Arabidopsis thaliana: one gene and its partners. The protein of the gene in region 1 interacts with the protein of each later gene in a pairwise test. Each region holds a gene or a part of one and is shown in the gene's direction. Other genes may lie near its edges. The genes, in order: PSS1, WIP1 and WIP2.

Evidence for each region.
Region 2: the proteins of PSS1 (region 1) and WIP1 interact in a two-hybrid assay, tested with the Arabidopsis thaliana proteins (one study listed by BioGRID).
Region 3: the proteins of PSS1 (region 1) and WIP2 interact in a two-hybrid assay, tested with the Arabidopsis thaliana proteins (one study listed by BioGRID).

What each region holds. Positions count from the first base shown.
Region 1 is NC_003070.9:5,197,321-5,202,714, forward strand, and holds PSS1 (phosphatidyl serine synthase family protein), read left to right. Parts: upstream 1-1,697; 5' UTR 1,698-1,946; intron 1,947-1,952; exon of another isoform or gene 1,953-2,247; 5' UTR 2,248-2,273; coding exon 2,274-2,434; intron 2,435-2,520; coding exon 2,521-2,586; intron 2,587-2,684; coding exon 2,685-2,744; intron 2,745-2,857; coding exon 2,858-2,948; intron 2,949-3,061; coding exon 3,062-3,116; intron 3,117-3,202; coding exon 3,203-3,282; intron 3,283-3,367; coding exon 3,368-3,484; intron 3,485-3,587; coding exon 3,588-3,672; intron 3,673-3,760; coding exon 3,761-3,852; intron 3,853-3,933; coding exon 3,934-4,187; intron 4,188-4,272; coding exon 4,273-4,365; intron 4,366-4,460; coding exon 4,461-4,668; 3' UTR 4,669-4,855; downstream 4,856-5,394. Other genes in the region: AT1G15120 (Ubiquinol-cytochrome C reductase hinge protein), read left to right, coding at 5,328-5,394. UniProt on the Arabidopsis thaliana protein: Catalyzes a base-exchange reaction in which the polar head group of phosphatidylethanolamine (PE) or phosphatidylcholine (PC) is replaced by L-serine. Is essential for phosphatidylserine (PS) biosynthesis and PE seems to be the most plausible substrate.
Region 2 is NC_003075.7:13,363,602-13,368,170, forward strand, and holds WIP1 (WPP domain interacting protein 1), read left to right. Parts: upstream 1-1,681; 5' UTR 1,682-2,135; coding exon 2,136-3,018; intron 3,019-3,196; coding exon 3,197-3,783; 3' UTR 3,784-3,930; downstream 3,931-4,569. Other genes in the region: AT4G26450 (uncharacterized protein), read left to right, coding at 1-792, 873-1,026, 1,102-1,180, 1,264-1,319; LRE (lorelei), read right to left, coding at 4,044-4,408. UniProt on the Arabidopsis thaliana protein: Mediates and enhances the nuclear envelope docking of RANGAP proteins mediated by WIT1 and WIT2 in the undifferentiated cells of root tips.
Region 3 is NC_003076.8:22,749,898-22,754,859, reverse strand, and holds WIP2 (WPP domain interacting protein 2), read left to right. Parts: upstream 1-2,042; 5' UTR 2,043-2,496; coding exon 2,497-3,367; intron 3,368-3,541; coding exon 3,542-4,200; 3' UTR 4,201-4,398; downstream 4,399-4,962.

The sequences.
Region 1 (5,394 bases):
ACACACGCTTATTCTTCTGTTTAATTTACCTGTGTTTTACTCTCACTTTTAATCCAAGAAAACTATCCACTTTTCACTGTTGGTTTCAGAATCCCATTGCTTATTATTTAGTTATTATTACTAATGAAAAGGTTAAGGAGGAGGGGTAAGTAATGTTGTGACAAGTGACAAGTGGTGTCTCCATCTGCATGGTCTTCTTGTAGGAATGAGCTGTTTATCTTTGTTTGTATTCCAGTTTCAAACTTTATAATACTATTTCGTTAGTGCTTTTTAATTGTATTCGCAGTTATGTGAATTTTAATCAAGAGCTAGCTGACCTGACCGTATGCTTATTATAGTTAGGGTCCATTCTCTACAACTACAACTGTACATTTATAATAAGCATGCTAGTAGATTTATTGTGACGATTTCAAGCACATAGAAGAGTCTATATCATCACTTCACTTGTTAGGCCTCTCTTTAATTTCATATTATATGACACTTTTTTCATTCAATGAAAAGAATAAAATAAAATTAATTGTTTGATACTCCTAATTAGGGATGTTATTCTCTGCTTCTCCTTTGTACTTTTGGGAATATCTGTCAAATCAATTACTTAAATGAGAATATTAATAAATTTGGCATTTGATGTGCTTTATTTGGCTGCAATTAAACAACAATCATATGAGTTATTGAGTATCATTCCAACCCCATAAATGTTAGCCTTTTTAAATGGAGTATATATTACTACCGTTTTTTTGTTCGTAACGCATATTACAACCGCTTTAATCAGAGAAATTATTTAAAGACGAATCTGGTGAAACATGAATTAATTTTGTCAAATAGAATATGTGAATAGTATTTCTGTTTATGTTAAATTAGGCAATAACATTACATATATACTTAATCCTTTATCTGAAAACACTAGATTTATGATAAATACGAAAGGTAACACTGGTTAGCGTATGGAACCATCAAATTTTGACTAAATGTTTTCTAACACTATGAGTGACCAAAACATTTCCTTTTACAAATTAAAATTTGTATTAGTCATCCTGCATACATTTCTTTTTCCCCAAACATTTTCAATTTTGGAATTTTTTTATATATATGTAAATTACATTTGAACAGGTCTAATTTGAATGGTTAATACGCGGTTCAAATAAAGTTGGCAAGTAATTAACAAACGAATCCACATCAAATTTCAATTACTGTATGTACCAAAACCACATTTATACCAAACCGCATCATAAAATAAAATAAAAATTCTTAAGGCCTGTTTTGTAGATTTTGTAAGAGTTTTTGGTTTTTGTTTTTTAAAAACTTATTTTCATACCAATCAAGATTTTAAAATTTTGGTTTCCCTACAATTTAGTAAAACTATTTTATTGTAATTTTCCATTCATGATTTTAGTTTTTTAGTTTTTGTAAAATTTAGGAAATCTAGTTTTTGTTCAATCAACGTTATTTTTCTCAAAAACCAAAAACCATTTTTTGGAGATTTTTTGAACAAAAAATATAATAACAAAAATCTAAAACTAAAATCTAAAATTCAGAAACTAAAATCTAAACTCAAAAACTAAATTAAAAATCAGGGCCTAAATTTTGACATAATATGGATAGATGATGATAGTGAGACCAAACCACATAATATTGCATATTTTGATGTCACCATTTGATAGCCTATAAAAAGGAGAAGAAGCAAAGGGTAGTTCTGGAAAAAAAGGGAATCGTGGGGGAAAGAAAGCAGAGTCGTTTTCAGATCGTGAATAGAAGCAGCAGCAGAAGCCGTATCTATCCCTCTCTCTCTCTCTCTCTCTCTCTCTCTCTCTCTCTCTCTACTTTGACCGTTCCTCTTCTTTTTATTCATCAACATCATCGAGCTTTCTACTACTTGGATTCCTACTTCTTCTTCTTCTTCCTCTGATTCTCTCCCATTCCAATCAATCTCTAGGGTTCTTCTTCAGGTATCTCAAATCTCCTCTCTTTTCTTTTTATTGCTAACCATTTTCATTTACTTTGGCTTATTTTTAAGTTTAATCTTCTTCTGATATTGCGTCTGCTTTTTTACCTCTGCAAAGACAGAACCTTTCTCTGTCTCTCTCTGCTTGTACCTTGTACCTTTTCTCTCTGTATACACTCCATTGTCTGCCTTTTCTCGTCTCTCTTCTCTTACAGTTTTTATTCATTAATTTCTCTCGAGGATGCTCCTCAGGCCCCTCTTTATCTCATCTCCCAGCTAAAGTTTCTCTTTTTGTTTTTAATCAGCAATACTTCAGAAGCTGGTTTTGGCCATGGAACCCAATGGGTACAGGAAAGAAAGAAGAAAGGAACAACATTTGGGGAGAATGAATGGTGGTGGTGGTGATGTTGAGACTGATCTTGATCCATGGACTGCATGGGCTTACAAGCCTCGCACTATCTCTCTTCTCCTTATTGGCGCTTGTTTTCTCATGTGAGTCATCATTTCTTCCTGCTTCTTCCCTTTTACCTCTCTGCCCATTTCTCGTAATCCTCAATTTGGTTTTGAATTTTACTTAGTTGGGCTAGTGGAGCTCTTGATCCTGACAGCACTACATCTGATGATCTTGTCACTTCTGTCAAAAGGTTCTCTTTTTCCTTCTGCCCACATCATGTTTTTTTTTCTTTTTTCATTTGATTCCATCAATTAACACTAGTCTACTATGTTTATGTTCCTTTTCTAGGGGAGTGTGGGCTATGATCGCTGTCTTTCTTGCTTACTCTTTGCTCCAGGCCCCTTCAACGTTTGTTTACCATCTCAGCTGTTTTATTAATTTGCTTTCTCTTTTATAATGTAGATTGTGGTTGTTGGTGATACTTGTGATGTGTCTTTAATCAAGTAATTTGCTTTATGCAGGGTTCTAATCAGGCCCCATCCTGCAATCTGGCGCTTAGTTCATGGAATGGCCGTCATTTACTTAGTTGCACTTACTTTTTTGCTCTTTCAGGTTCACTTTTTTTTCCTCCCTAGATCCTTCTTACTTGCCTATGCCTGTGATTTATATATGGATTCTTGTTTTAAGTGAGCAAACTCTAATAGTTACATTATTCATGCTCCCAGAGACGTGATGATGCACGGCAGTTCATGAAGTTTCTCCACCCTGACCTTGGAATAGGTAAGAGTTTCGGAGAGGAATGCTGTTTATTCGAGGAGCTACCACATCAATGATTGACCATCTTATTGAGTTTGCTCATGTTGCAGAACTTCCTGAGAAATCATACGGTGCTGATTGCCGTATATATGTGCCTGATCACCCAACAAACAGGTTTAAGAATCTTTATGTAGGGTATCTTCTCAACAACTCCCCTTTACCTTAACCAACCTTCATATCACCTAAAGGCTTATGCTTTGATTAAAATTTATCAGGACACAGTATTTGATGAGTTTTTCTTGGCTCACATCTTTGGTTGGTGGGGGAAAGCAATTCTGATCCGGAACCAGCCGCTTCTTTGGGTGCTTTCAATTGGTTTTGAGTTATTGGAGGTTGGTCTTTGTCTTCGTTTTCTTATATTACAGGTTCCAATTTGATATATACAAAAATATCGCTTCGCCTGTGTCACCGAAAAGTTATATTTATGTTCTCCAGGTTACTTTTCGGCATATGTTACCAAATTTCAACGAGTGCTGGTGGGACAGTATTGTTCTTGATATCTTGATATGCAACTGGTTTGGTATGATTCTTAAGCTACCTTGCTATTCTATATGTAGTGCTTTTAAACATGTTATGGATAACAGCTTTTCTTGTTTTAATCATGGTAGGTATCTGGGCAGGAATGTATACAGTTCGATATTTTGATGGAAAAACATATGAGTGGGTTGGCATTAGCCGCCAGCCTAACATTATTGGCAAAGTAGGTTTGTTCAACCTTGAGAGTGCATACACATGGTCCTAGCCGTTGTACATCCAATGAGAATTTTGTATATTTTTTCAGGTGAAAAGGACACTGGGGCAGTTCACACCAGCTCACTGGGACAAAGACGAGTGGCATCCGCTGCAGGGACCTTGGCGTTTTATTCAAGTACTCACTCTTTGCATCATATTCTTGACAGTGGAGCTGAACACATTCTTTCTCAAGTTTAGCCTGTGGATCCCCCCTCGAAACCCAGTGATTCTCTATAGGCTGATCTTGTGGTGGCTCATAGCGATACCAACAACACGGGAGTACAATTCATATCTTCAAGACAGGTAAAGCTATAGCCACTGCGATATTGGTTGGAGTTAGTTTGGAAAGAGTTTTGTATATAACTTGTGTAGTTTTGGTTGTTCACAGAAAACCTGTGAAAAAGGTGGGAGCATTCTGTTGGCTGTCACTGGGGATATGCATAGTAGAACTTCTCATCTGCATCAAGTTTGGAAGTGGTAGGTGGTTCCTTACACATGCTCTGCCTTAGTTATTTATGGTTACAGTTACATAGTGTGGAGAGTGTAAACTTGGTTGTATGGTTATGATACGAACAGGATTGTACCCAACAGAAATGCCATTGTGGGTAGTGACACTATGGGGAAGTGTGGGACTTGGACTTGTGGCCTTCTTGCTGTCTTGGACATGGAAGATCCAGAAGATCCTCGCGCAAAAGAGACGTTAAGCGCATCATTATTGTTGCAGCAGAGACGAGAGAGAAATAGAGGTGAGACAGTGAAATGCCATTGTGGTTTTTTTTTGTAAATAGGGAGAAGAAGGAACGATGTAAATGCAATTTTCTTTAGGGATAGTGTGTGATATTCAACATTTACGAAGATTCCATCAATTCTTTCATGCATCAAAAGTTCTTTCATCTTTGTTCTGCCCCCTCAATCTGACAAAACATGTTGGTTTGAATGTCAATTTTTTGTTACCATTCACACATTCAAGTTTTCAACAGTTCAAAAAAAGAAGAAGAAGTTATTGAGCCATTGTTTCTTCTGGTTTTTGAGATGATTGTTTTGTGCTGCCAACTCTTACATGACATTAACAACATTATTGTGCTTTTACTGCCATTAACTCCATTACCACCATTCAATTTTTCTGTCTTTAATTATTGGTTCCAGTTTTGTTATTCTGGTCTATTATTTTGTATTATCATCATTCTATCAAACAGATTATTTGTTTTGTTGAAGGAAATGAAAAAAAGAAGAAGAAAGAATCAAATATGATAAATTGAGGATAATATTAAGATTGTGTGACCTGCCGTGCCGCCCAACAACATGTCACATGGTATCTTAGGTTTGCAAATTCGTAATTTGACATCTTCGACGACAATTTTGACTATCTATCTAATCTTAACATCACTCTTCCATCATCACTTCCTATTTTATTCCAACTTTCTTAAAGAAGCCAAAAAAAGGATGATGTCAGAAGTTAAGGAATATTCTGACAAGGATAGGATGCCCTTAAGGGAATCTAGAGTCTTGA
Region 2 (4,569 bases), on another chromosome or scaffold:
TTTGAGTCATAATATCAAGGATACCTCTCATAATTCTGGACTTGAAGAAGAAGATCAAACCGAAAATCGATGTGAGACTCGAGGCCAATCATCTGGAAAGGCCGATAGTACTGGTGATGAAAATGACCAAGTTGAAGATTTTGCTCTTGTTCAATATATTGAGAACAGTAAATGTCATAGGTCTAATTCTTTTCCCAGTAGCATTCTCAGGGATAACAGTGAGAAAGAATCAGGATTAGAATTGCCTAATCTGCACAGATCACATTCGGTGGGGAAAGTAGGTGAGAAAAGGCCTGGTGAAGGCAGTGACTTGGAGGAGGGATCAAAAAGACAGAGAGATTGGGTGGCAGTTTCTGAAGCTAATGAACGCTTCAACATGTTTAAAACAAGCGGAAACCAATGCGATCCGGAAGAAGAAGGAAAGACAAGCTCGTTCAACAAAAGACTGATTGACGGTGCTGCTGGAAAAAGGGTCAGCCATGAAAGTCTGGTTAATAACTCTACATACAATAGGACACACACTGGCAGAACAGGTCCAGGGTATGCTGAAGAACATCAGCTGTTTCCTGCTTCGTTTAAGATGTGTGACCTAAATCTAGGGGGAGCGTCGGATGTGAATGATGGGATAAAGGAATCTCGTCAAGCTGTTGATTTTGATCTCTCAATCAGCAGTTCTAGTAAGTCTCTCGAGTTTGGTACGAGTACTCGGATGAGCAATGGTAAAGAGATAGAAGTGATTAATTTGGATGATGATCAAGAAGTGGTAAAGTCCAGCAATGATCCAGGAAGAAAGTACGGCCAAGTCCTACTCTTAACACTTATATATACACACACCTATTACATTTTGGCTAATGGGTTTTCATATCTAACAGGCAAGAAGCTGCTCCATATATGGGCATCGATGACGTCCCAGACTACAATGAAAGACTCATGATGGTAGAGTATCTTGATTCCTTTACTCCAATAAACCAGGGAACCAGTAGTGTCCCACAGAATAACAACACAGTTAGCCTTCAAGACCGAGAGGTACCTACTCTACTTGTCAAGTTTTATGTCACATAGAATGTTTGTTGTTGCTAACAGATCCTGAAAACGTCTCAGGGAGCTATTGGAAATGACCAAGTACCAAATAATACAGACGATGATTCGATCTTCATGTCACTCGGAGAAATACCATTGAGTAAGACCAATATCAAATTCTTTCTCTTTTCTATTTTAGCTTCTTAAAGAGCTGAGATTCATTATGTCTTTGCAATTGTGCAGCATTCTTGCAAGCTTGGGACCAACCTCCAGCTCGAGGCTACGAGAAGCCTTTCTGATTCTCTTTTTTTTTGTTATGTTTCTTCAGTCTGTGTAATGAGTGTGTAGTAGCCCAATTTCGTTTGTGCTAATCTCAATCCTCTCAGATGATGTAAGAATGTGACTTGTGGTGTTTTATGGTTGTATGTACCCTTTGTAATTCTCTGTTTATTCTCACACTGTCCCCATGTTTTAGGTCAGTTCAACAATTTTCTGAAATTGTAATAACCAAAATGATAATTATTAACGGTATATATATGTCGTGTCCAATCTCACGGTCAAAAATGAAGAAGGTGATGCTGAGAGGTCAGGCGATTCCGACACGTGTTATATTCCAACCACCCACACGTAATTTTCAAAAAGGAACAAAATTGATCATGAGGGAAAAAAGAATAAACTTTTTCCCACAAAGAAACTTTCCACATTGAACGAGAGAATTATAGATCTGCGAATCCGATCATTGGATTAGGGTTTTCACTTTTCACCCTCCTTTTTCCATCTCTCTGCTGTATACCCTTCCTTTCTCCAAAAAGACCAAAACTTTGCGATTCAATTCGAAATCTGTGTTCTTCCATTGAGCTGGATTTTCATTTTTGGAATCATTTCTTCTCTTCTTTGATCCGATAGATGGTGGCATGGTAGGAAATTTTAGACCTTTATATTTCTATTTAACCGTCAAGGAACCAATGAATTTGTATAGCTTGTTGAGTTGACTTTTTGATTGTGTATGATCGAATTTGGGATCCTCATTTCGGGTTTTGGGTTATTGATCTGAGCTCCTGTTACTTCTGAAACCGATGTGAATTTGGTGGGGGATAGATTTTTTTGTGGAGTCAATGGATTTGGAGAGTGAAAGCTCTGCACTTGAGTCTGTTGATGATAATGTTTTGATTCAACAAAGTGCCAGCAACGTTTGTGATGATGGTAGGAGTTTGGATAACGGGTCTTGCTCTGATGAGAGTGTGAAACTGCTTTCGACTTCTAATTCTGTTGAACTCGGTAAACCTATGAGTTTTGATTCACCAGGTGATGGTGGTGGTGCTTATTCTCCGGTTTTGAAAGGACAAGGCTTGAGAAAATGGAGGAGGATTAGGAGAGATCTTGTTAAGGACACGTCTGCGAATATGGAGAATAGTAAAGCTCTGAAGAGAGGGTTGTCAGGTGTTGCTCATTCACATGGTAAACAGATGCAGTTTCAGTCACCGGAAGTTGAACAAGAGAGTCAGGGATCTGTTGGGTCTGTTAATATGTTGAAAAGTAGCGGTGATGGTTTTGATATACTTGGGAGTAGTGGTTACGATTCTAGGTTTGTGGCAGGGGTTGGTTTTTCAGCTGGTATGGATTTAGAGATAGATGATGATCGGAGTAGTAAGTCTTCCACGGTTGCAAGAGCTCCCAAGGTTATTAGGTATGAGAAGCCAATGATTAGTTCAGGTCAGGGAGGAAACATTCGTGTAGAGAATAGTAAGAAACATAGAGGAGAAAGTGTCGATTTCGAGAAGGAAAACTCTTATTCCAGCTTGGAATCTGACTCAAGAAAGCAGAGTGGAAGAATGATGGACTACAATGGTGAAAATGGGGAAACGTCAATGAGAAAAGATGATGCGGGAGGAGAAGGCGGAGAGTCGATAAACACGGACAATCGTTACTCAGATGAAATGGATCCATTAACAGAGGCCATCAACGGTTTCTTGGCCTTGCAAGATGCTCTTGAAAAAGGTAGCCATTCTGATTATTTTTTTGCTGCGGATTGTATCTAAACTTGCATTATTTTTACTGCTGTTACATAACTATTTCTTGTTATGAGCCTGCATTATCATGTTGGAATCAACTAATAACATCACATGAACAATGATTATGATGTTTAATGTGACTCTTTATGAAATTTCATTTGCAGAGGTTCAGCAATTCCAGGAGATCGGGAATGAACCAATGCCACAGCATCATGAACAAGTCAGCGAAGCAAATTCACCTCACCCCGAGATTGTAACCCTGGTAAACAATGTTGAACAACTGGAGAACATGCTAGAAGAAACAAGGTCCATGCTTGAGGTGAAAGAATCACACATCCGTGACCTTGAATCCACCACGAACCAAAGCAAACACTCGTGGGGAGGAACAGAGATTGTGGTTGAAGACATCTTCCGGCAGAAGATTGAGGCCGAGATTGAATATCTGATATATTCAAGATCTATCGATAACTTAAACAGTCAGATGAAGTTAATTGATGAACAAGAGTCATTGGCAGAAGAGCAAACCCATGAGACGCTGAATAAGCTAGGAAGAGTACAAACGAAGGCTGCAAATTTTACAAACAGAGCTCAAGACCTGCAAAACGATTGCATAGAAATCACCGGGACCATCAAGAAGAGAGCATGTAAGATCACTTCATACGTTCTTATACAGTTAGTATTGCTGTCAACAGTAGTTTTGTTGCTCCTGTCTCAATTGTTGCCGGAGCCAGATACTGTTGTACCCACATGACTTTTGATTTTTGATGTAAACTGAGTTTTGTTTTGGCTTTTGGCTTTTCTTGTTAACAATTCGGCTATAAGTTTTGCCTCTGGTAATAAAATTAATCAAGTAAGTCTCGCTTCTTCTTTTGTTTATTTTGGAGGTCAAGTATTCTTTACACTTGGACACTTGGTCAGTAACAGAACAATTTGATAATTCTATCTAGTTTGTTAGCTAATATGGTATCAAAATGTAATCACTCTTTGGCTCTTTCAATTTCCTTTGATTGATCAAGTCAACACTAACAAAGCAAAAACAGCGGTTGCAGCAGAGATCAACAGCGAGATAAAACGAGGAGTCGAATCAGCAGTTGAGGCGTTTAGGTTATGTGAATAGAGAGGTGGTAAAGGGCAAACAAGCCCATCTTTCCTTTCTCTGCACTCGTTAGCGAAAAGGCCAGTAGGGTAGTTTCCATAAATATTCATGTAGCTGAACATTGTCTGTGCACAATCACTATTCATGTCGTTGATCTGACTCACGTAAGGACATGCAAATTCTTTAAAAGCAGAGCAACATTCTTTGGCTGGAAACGCTGGACCTTTGCACCTCTTTGTCAAGACCTTGTAGTCCATATACTCAAAGTTCACTTCACATTCTGTTTCCAACCAAACAAAAAACAAGAGTTAGTGTCACACCACTTATATATACTTATCTATACACAAACTTGATACACTGATCCAATAATACAAATATTATATAAGAACACTAATGATACAATTTGATTTTAAATTAAAACCAAAGATGAAAAAGTTCTGA
Region 3 (4,962 bases), on another chromosome or scaffold:
CTTCTTTCACCAAACACAAATTAAACTCAAATGAAAGCTCTCACCTCTCAGCTTCAAAAGGTTATGTCTTTATCTCTCTAACTTGGTAATGAATCTCATAATGGTGTTTCTCTGACAGATGATATTGAAGTGAGTGGGACTGAGAGGAGATGAGTCAGAACATGAATGCAACAGTTGATGCAGTTCAATGAGATTGAGGTAAAATCTGAGAAACTGCATGTGATGTATCTAACTCTTCCATTTTGTGGGGTCCCTCTTCTACAACACTGTTGAAACCCAATTTGTGTTTTCTTCTTTTCTTTATTTAATTTCTCCTCCTCCTCTTACTTCAGATTTGACCAACAACACCAAGCCAGTTTCAGAGAGTCTCTGCAACAATGGAGAGGTCACGGGTCAGAAGAAAAATCATTGCTTTACATTGAGTTTGTGGTCTAATGTTCATCATCATTAACAAGATTGAATCTTTTTACTCTCTAGCTAGGACCAACAATGAAAAAGCAACATATTAGTCAAATCTTTAAAGATGATTTCTTAAAGACTTACCCTTTTGTTTGATCTTTTTCAGACACAAGGCAAAAAAAGACGTGTCACTTCCCCTGCATATCTTTTCATTACCAAGCCTGTCTCTCTCGTCTATCTTTCTCTCTGTGTTTCTTTTTGAGGAAGAGCAGAAGATTGTGATAATGAAGAGGGAGAAGAATCTGGAGTTGTGAGTTGGATCTGAAAGTGCTTATGGACATTAATTTGTTTTTAAAATAGTGATTAAAGAAATGGTTAAGAGAGAAGCAGCCTGGAGATGGTTAATGTCTAAACATGTACCAATGTCATTTTATAATGATCACCCACTTAATCAAAAACCATTTTATAATTAACTTAAATTTATAATCTTGGATTCTCCTTTATGTCATTTGTTTTTAGCTCTCCTCTCTCTCTTCTCTCAACCTCCTCTGCATTTTCTGGAAATTTTTAATGAGTTTTTTTTTCTTCTTTAGTTTACCAAGAAGACTCCAGTTTTTATTTAAGATCGAGTTATTAGAGAAGTATAAATATAACATGGGTTACATTGGATTTAAGAGAGTTAAATAGACAAGAGTCAGATTTAAGACATTGAACTTTGAGCTTAAAAGAGGTTGTAGGATTGAAGAAAGGGAACCATTTTCAATTTTCTTAGTACTTTGGTTGTTTGTCATTTACTGTTTGTATTTTGTGGTCTATAGAAAACTCCAAACATTGTACTATATTGAGTATTGAATCATATAATACTATCATTGCTGCAATTAATAGGAGAAAAATGTCAAGAGAATATTTTACGTAAAACATATTTTGGGTTCTAAGTAAGTGAAATTCCTTCCACTATGTGATTATGAACTAAATTTCTAACAATAGTACTAACATAACATAAGTAGTAACCTAGTAGTATTTGACAATTTTTCTTATCAATAACATTTTAGTATATTGTAATTTGTAAGATAAACTCCTCATAATCGAGTAATTATCTTTTTTTTTTAATTCAAGGTGGTGCATGTATGTATGTGTACACTGACACAACATTTGAAATCTGATTTCACAGTGGGAATTGGTCCAAGACCAGTCCACTTGTGACTTTTTATTTATTTACCCCACACATTTTCACATTTATCTACAATCATAAGGGACTTTAAAAACATACACATTACACACACACACACACAAAAACAAAAAATTTACCATCAAAATCTTGGAGTGTGTGACGTATGAACAAAACAAGATTGATACTGTATGTAGAAAAGTCTCGTTATCAAACGATGTGGAAGCGTTTATCAAACGCTCAAGGATAAGTCTCGTTGTTTCCATACCTAAAAACGGCAACCACTGTATATAGAAAAGATGTAAACGTCAAAACTGAAGAAGTTAGAAAGACGAGGGTAAATTAGTAAAATAGTCGAGATCATATTAAAGTCCTAACGGTATATCACACACCGTTGAATTCCAGATCCGACCAGATAAGATCACGTCGAATCGAACGGTCATAAAATATCCGAGTAGTTGCTGAAGTATCCAGCGGTTTCGCCACGTGTCCCGACCATGTCGCTCACACGTTCGTATTTCTCTATTACAAAAAAAAGGAAACGAATCAAAATGTTTTTTGATCGTAACCGGGAAAAAAAAAACGATTTTTCGCAACGAAACTTTCCACAATCAACGGATATAGAGAGAGATCTCTGCGAATCGTTTAAATCGTCTTCTAATTTCGTTTCGGTCTCTTCGTAAAGGATTCACCTTTGAGTGGTTTTGCGTTCCATTTTATTAGGTACGTCAAGCTCGAAACTTTCGATTCATTGGCTTTCGTAAATGTGATTAATCTGGGAATTGAGTTGAATTTAGAGAACCCTATTGCTTCATTTTTGTTTTCGTATTTTGGTTTTATTGAATTTGCCTCTGGTTCTTACTGGAATGGTGGTTGTTTAGTCTTGAGATTGATCCCATGTGAAAAGTTAGTATTTTTGTGGCGTCGTCATGGATTTGGAGAGTGAAAGCTCTGTTCTTGAATCTGTTGAAGATAATAATGGTTTGATTGGTGATCTTGATAAAGAGTTGAATTCACCGGTTGAGACTTCTCCTCTTATATCAAAAGGATTTGGTTTAAGAAAATGGAAGAGGAGGTTAAGGAGAGATCTTGTTAAGGATGATACTTCTGTGAGTATGGAGAATAGTAAAGCTCTGAAGAGGGTGTTGTCAGGATTAGTTGATCCGAATGCTAAACAAATGCATTTGCCAGGACCTGAAGTTAGACAAGATAGTGTTGGTTCTGTTGGCTCGGTGAATAGTGTGGTTGGTTTTGTAATGGGTGGGGAGAGTTATGGCAATGGTCTTGCTTTTGCAGCTGGTGTTGATTCGGATAACAGTGAGGATCGGAGTAGTACAATGAGTCATTCTTGGGACAAACATAGAGGAAAGGTCTCGGGTGGGAAGAGTGTGATTAGTTCGGGGGATAGTAGTCAACAAAGGAAGAGTAGTGTAGAGAAGAGTAATAAACTTAGAGGAGAAAGGATCAAAATTGAGAAGGAAAACTCTCATTCCAGCATGGAATCTGCTGACTCAAGAAGCTCCAACTTTGTGTTTATGCAGGGTGCTTCCTATAGTTTGAGTAGCAGAGAACAAGGCGGAAGAAGAATGATGGATTATGACGATGAAAATAGTGATCATGACGCACATACTTCGAAGAGAAAGGATAACGTGGAAGAAGAAGAAGAAGAAACAGAAGACTATTCACAAGGAGACTGTGTTGAAGAGTCTCAAATCAAGAGCAATGGTTCATCAGACAATCTGGATCCATTAATAGTAGCCGTCAACAGTTTCCAGACTTTGCAAGAAGCCCTCCAAAAAGGTATCAATTTCATAAATACAGATTTTCATTTGGAATTTGATTGTTGCTGCATTGTAGTAGTCCTAATCAACTAAAACTTGAATGACTCTAACACTGGTTCCTTATGATGCCGTGTAATATTAACATGATTGTGTTTCGAGTTTGACTAAACTCCTGTTCTTTTTCCCTTTTCAGAACTTCAAAAATTCCAAGAGCTTGGGAAAGAAGAACCTATAACATCACTGCATGATGGAGGAGAAAGCAGCAGTTGCATACACGCAGGACACGAAGGAGCTAGTGAAGCAAGCTCTTCTTACCGGTTTGGGTCTGAAAAGATGGGAGAAATGGAATTAACTTCTCTAGATTCCGAGATACTAAACCTGGTGAACAATGTAGAGCATCTGGAGATCAAACTAGAAGAAGCAAAGCGTATTCTCGAGGTTAAAGAAACACAAATCCGTGAACTCGAATCTACCATAAACGTTTCAGAGACGTGTAACGGAGGAACAGAGATCGGGATAGAAGACATCTTCCAGCAAAAGGTGGAGGCAGAGATTGAATATATCATATTCTCAAGATCAGTGGGAAACCTAAAGAGACGGATCAAACTGATTGAAGAAGAGAAGACATTGGGGCTATCAAAGCTTGATAAAGCAGAAACAAAAGCTGAGAATCTAAAGAATCAAGCTCAAGATTTACAAAACCATTGTGTAGAGATCACAGAGATTCAAGAAGTGGAGTGCCTGAAGAAGAGAGCATTTAAGACCACTAGATGTCTTCTTCTACAGTTAGGCTTGCTCTTTATACTGTATTATTCTCTGTTACCAGAACCGGAGATTGCTGTTCCCACATGATAGTTTTGTTTGATGGAATCTGTTTTTATCTATATTTATACAAGTTTTGTATTTATATATATTGTAACATTTTGGCTCCAATAGACCCAACTCTTCTTTGCTTTCTACTTTGTGTTTCTGCGTGCTGCATTGTCATGACGTCAGTGTGTATGTATAAAATTGTTGCCTCTTTGTCAACTTTGCCATCATTTTCCATAATTTCTTTAGTAAATAAGAAATAATGAAATACAGAAGATAAGATATATAAACACACAAGTGAAAAAAGTTTAGATATTCACATGTACAATGAAAATTTGCACATAACCTTTAAATAATTTGAGTCGGTCTTAATATATATTCATTGTAAGCTCTTTAGAGTTTATAAATAAGAAGAATTCAATATAGTTGTGTGAATATATTGTGTGGTGTGTTGTTTGTGATGACACATAGAAGTGGTCTTATGTCATTAGCTGCAAGTGGAGACTTTTGACAATTTGACTATAAACAGCCATCTTAATGTTGGTTTGTTCCAACAACACTTAACAATGCCCACGTCTTGAAGAGTTTTAGATTTGCAAACCAATAATCAATTTGATCAAATATACTTAAAAAAAAGAAGAAGTTATTATTCATCTTAGACTCACTCATAGGTGTCTTAATGTGATGATCTTTGGATTTATATCCAAATCATTTTACAAATTTGGACCTACCATAGTTTGGTCTCTTTTCTTAGTGTAATGAAGAGAGATTTGATTCTTTCTTTCAAATTTGGTGTGTTTCAAA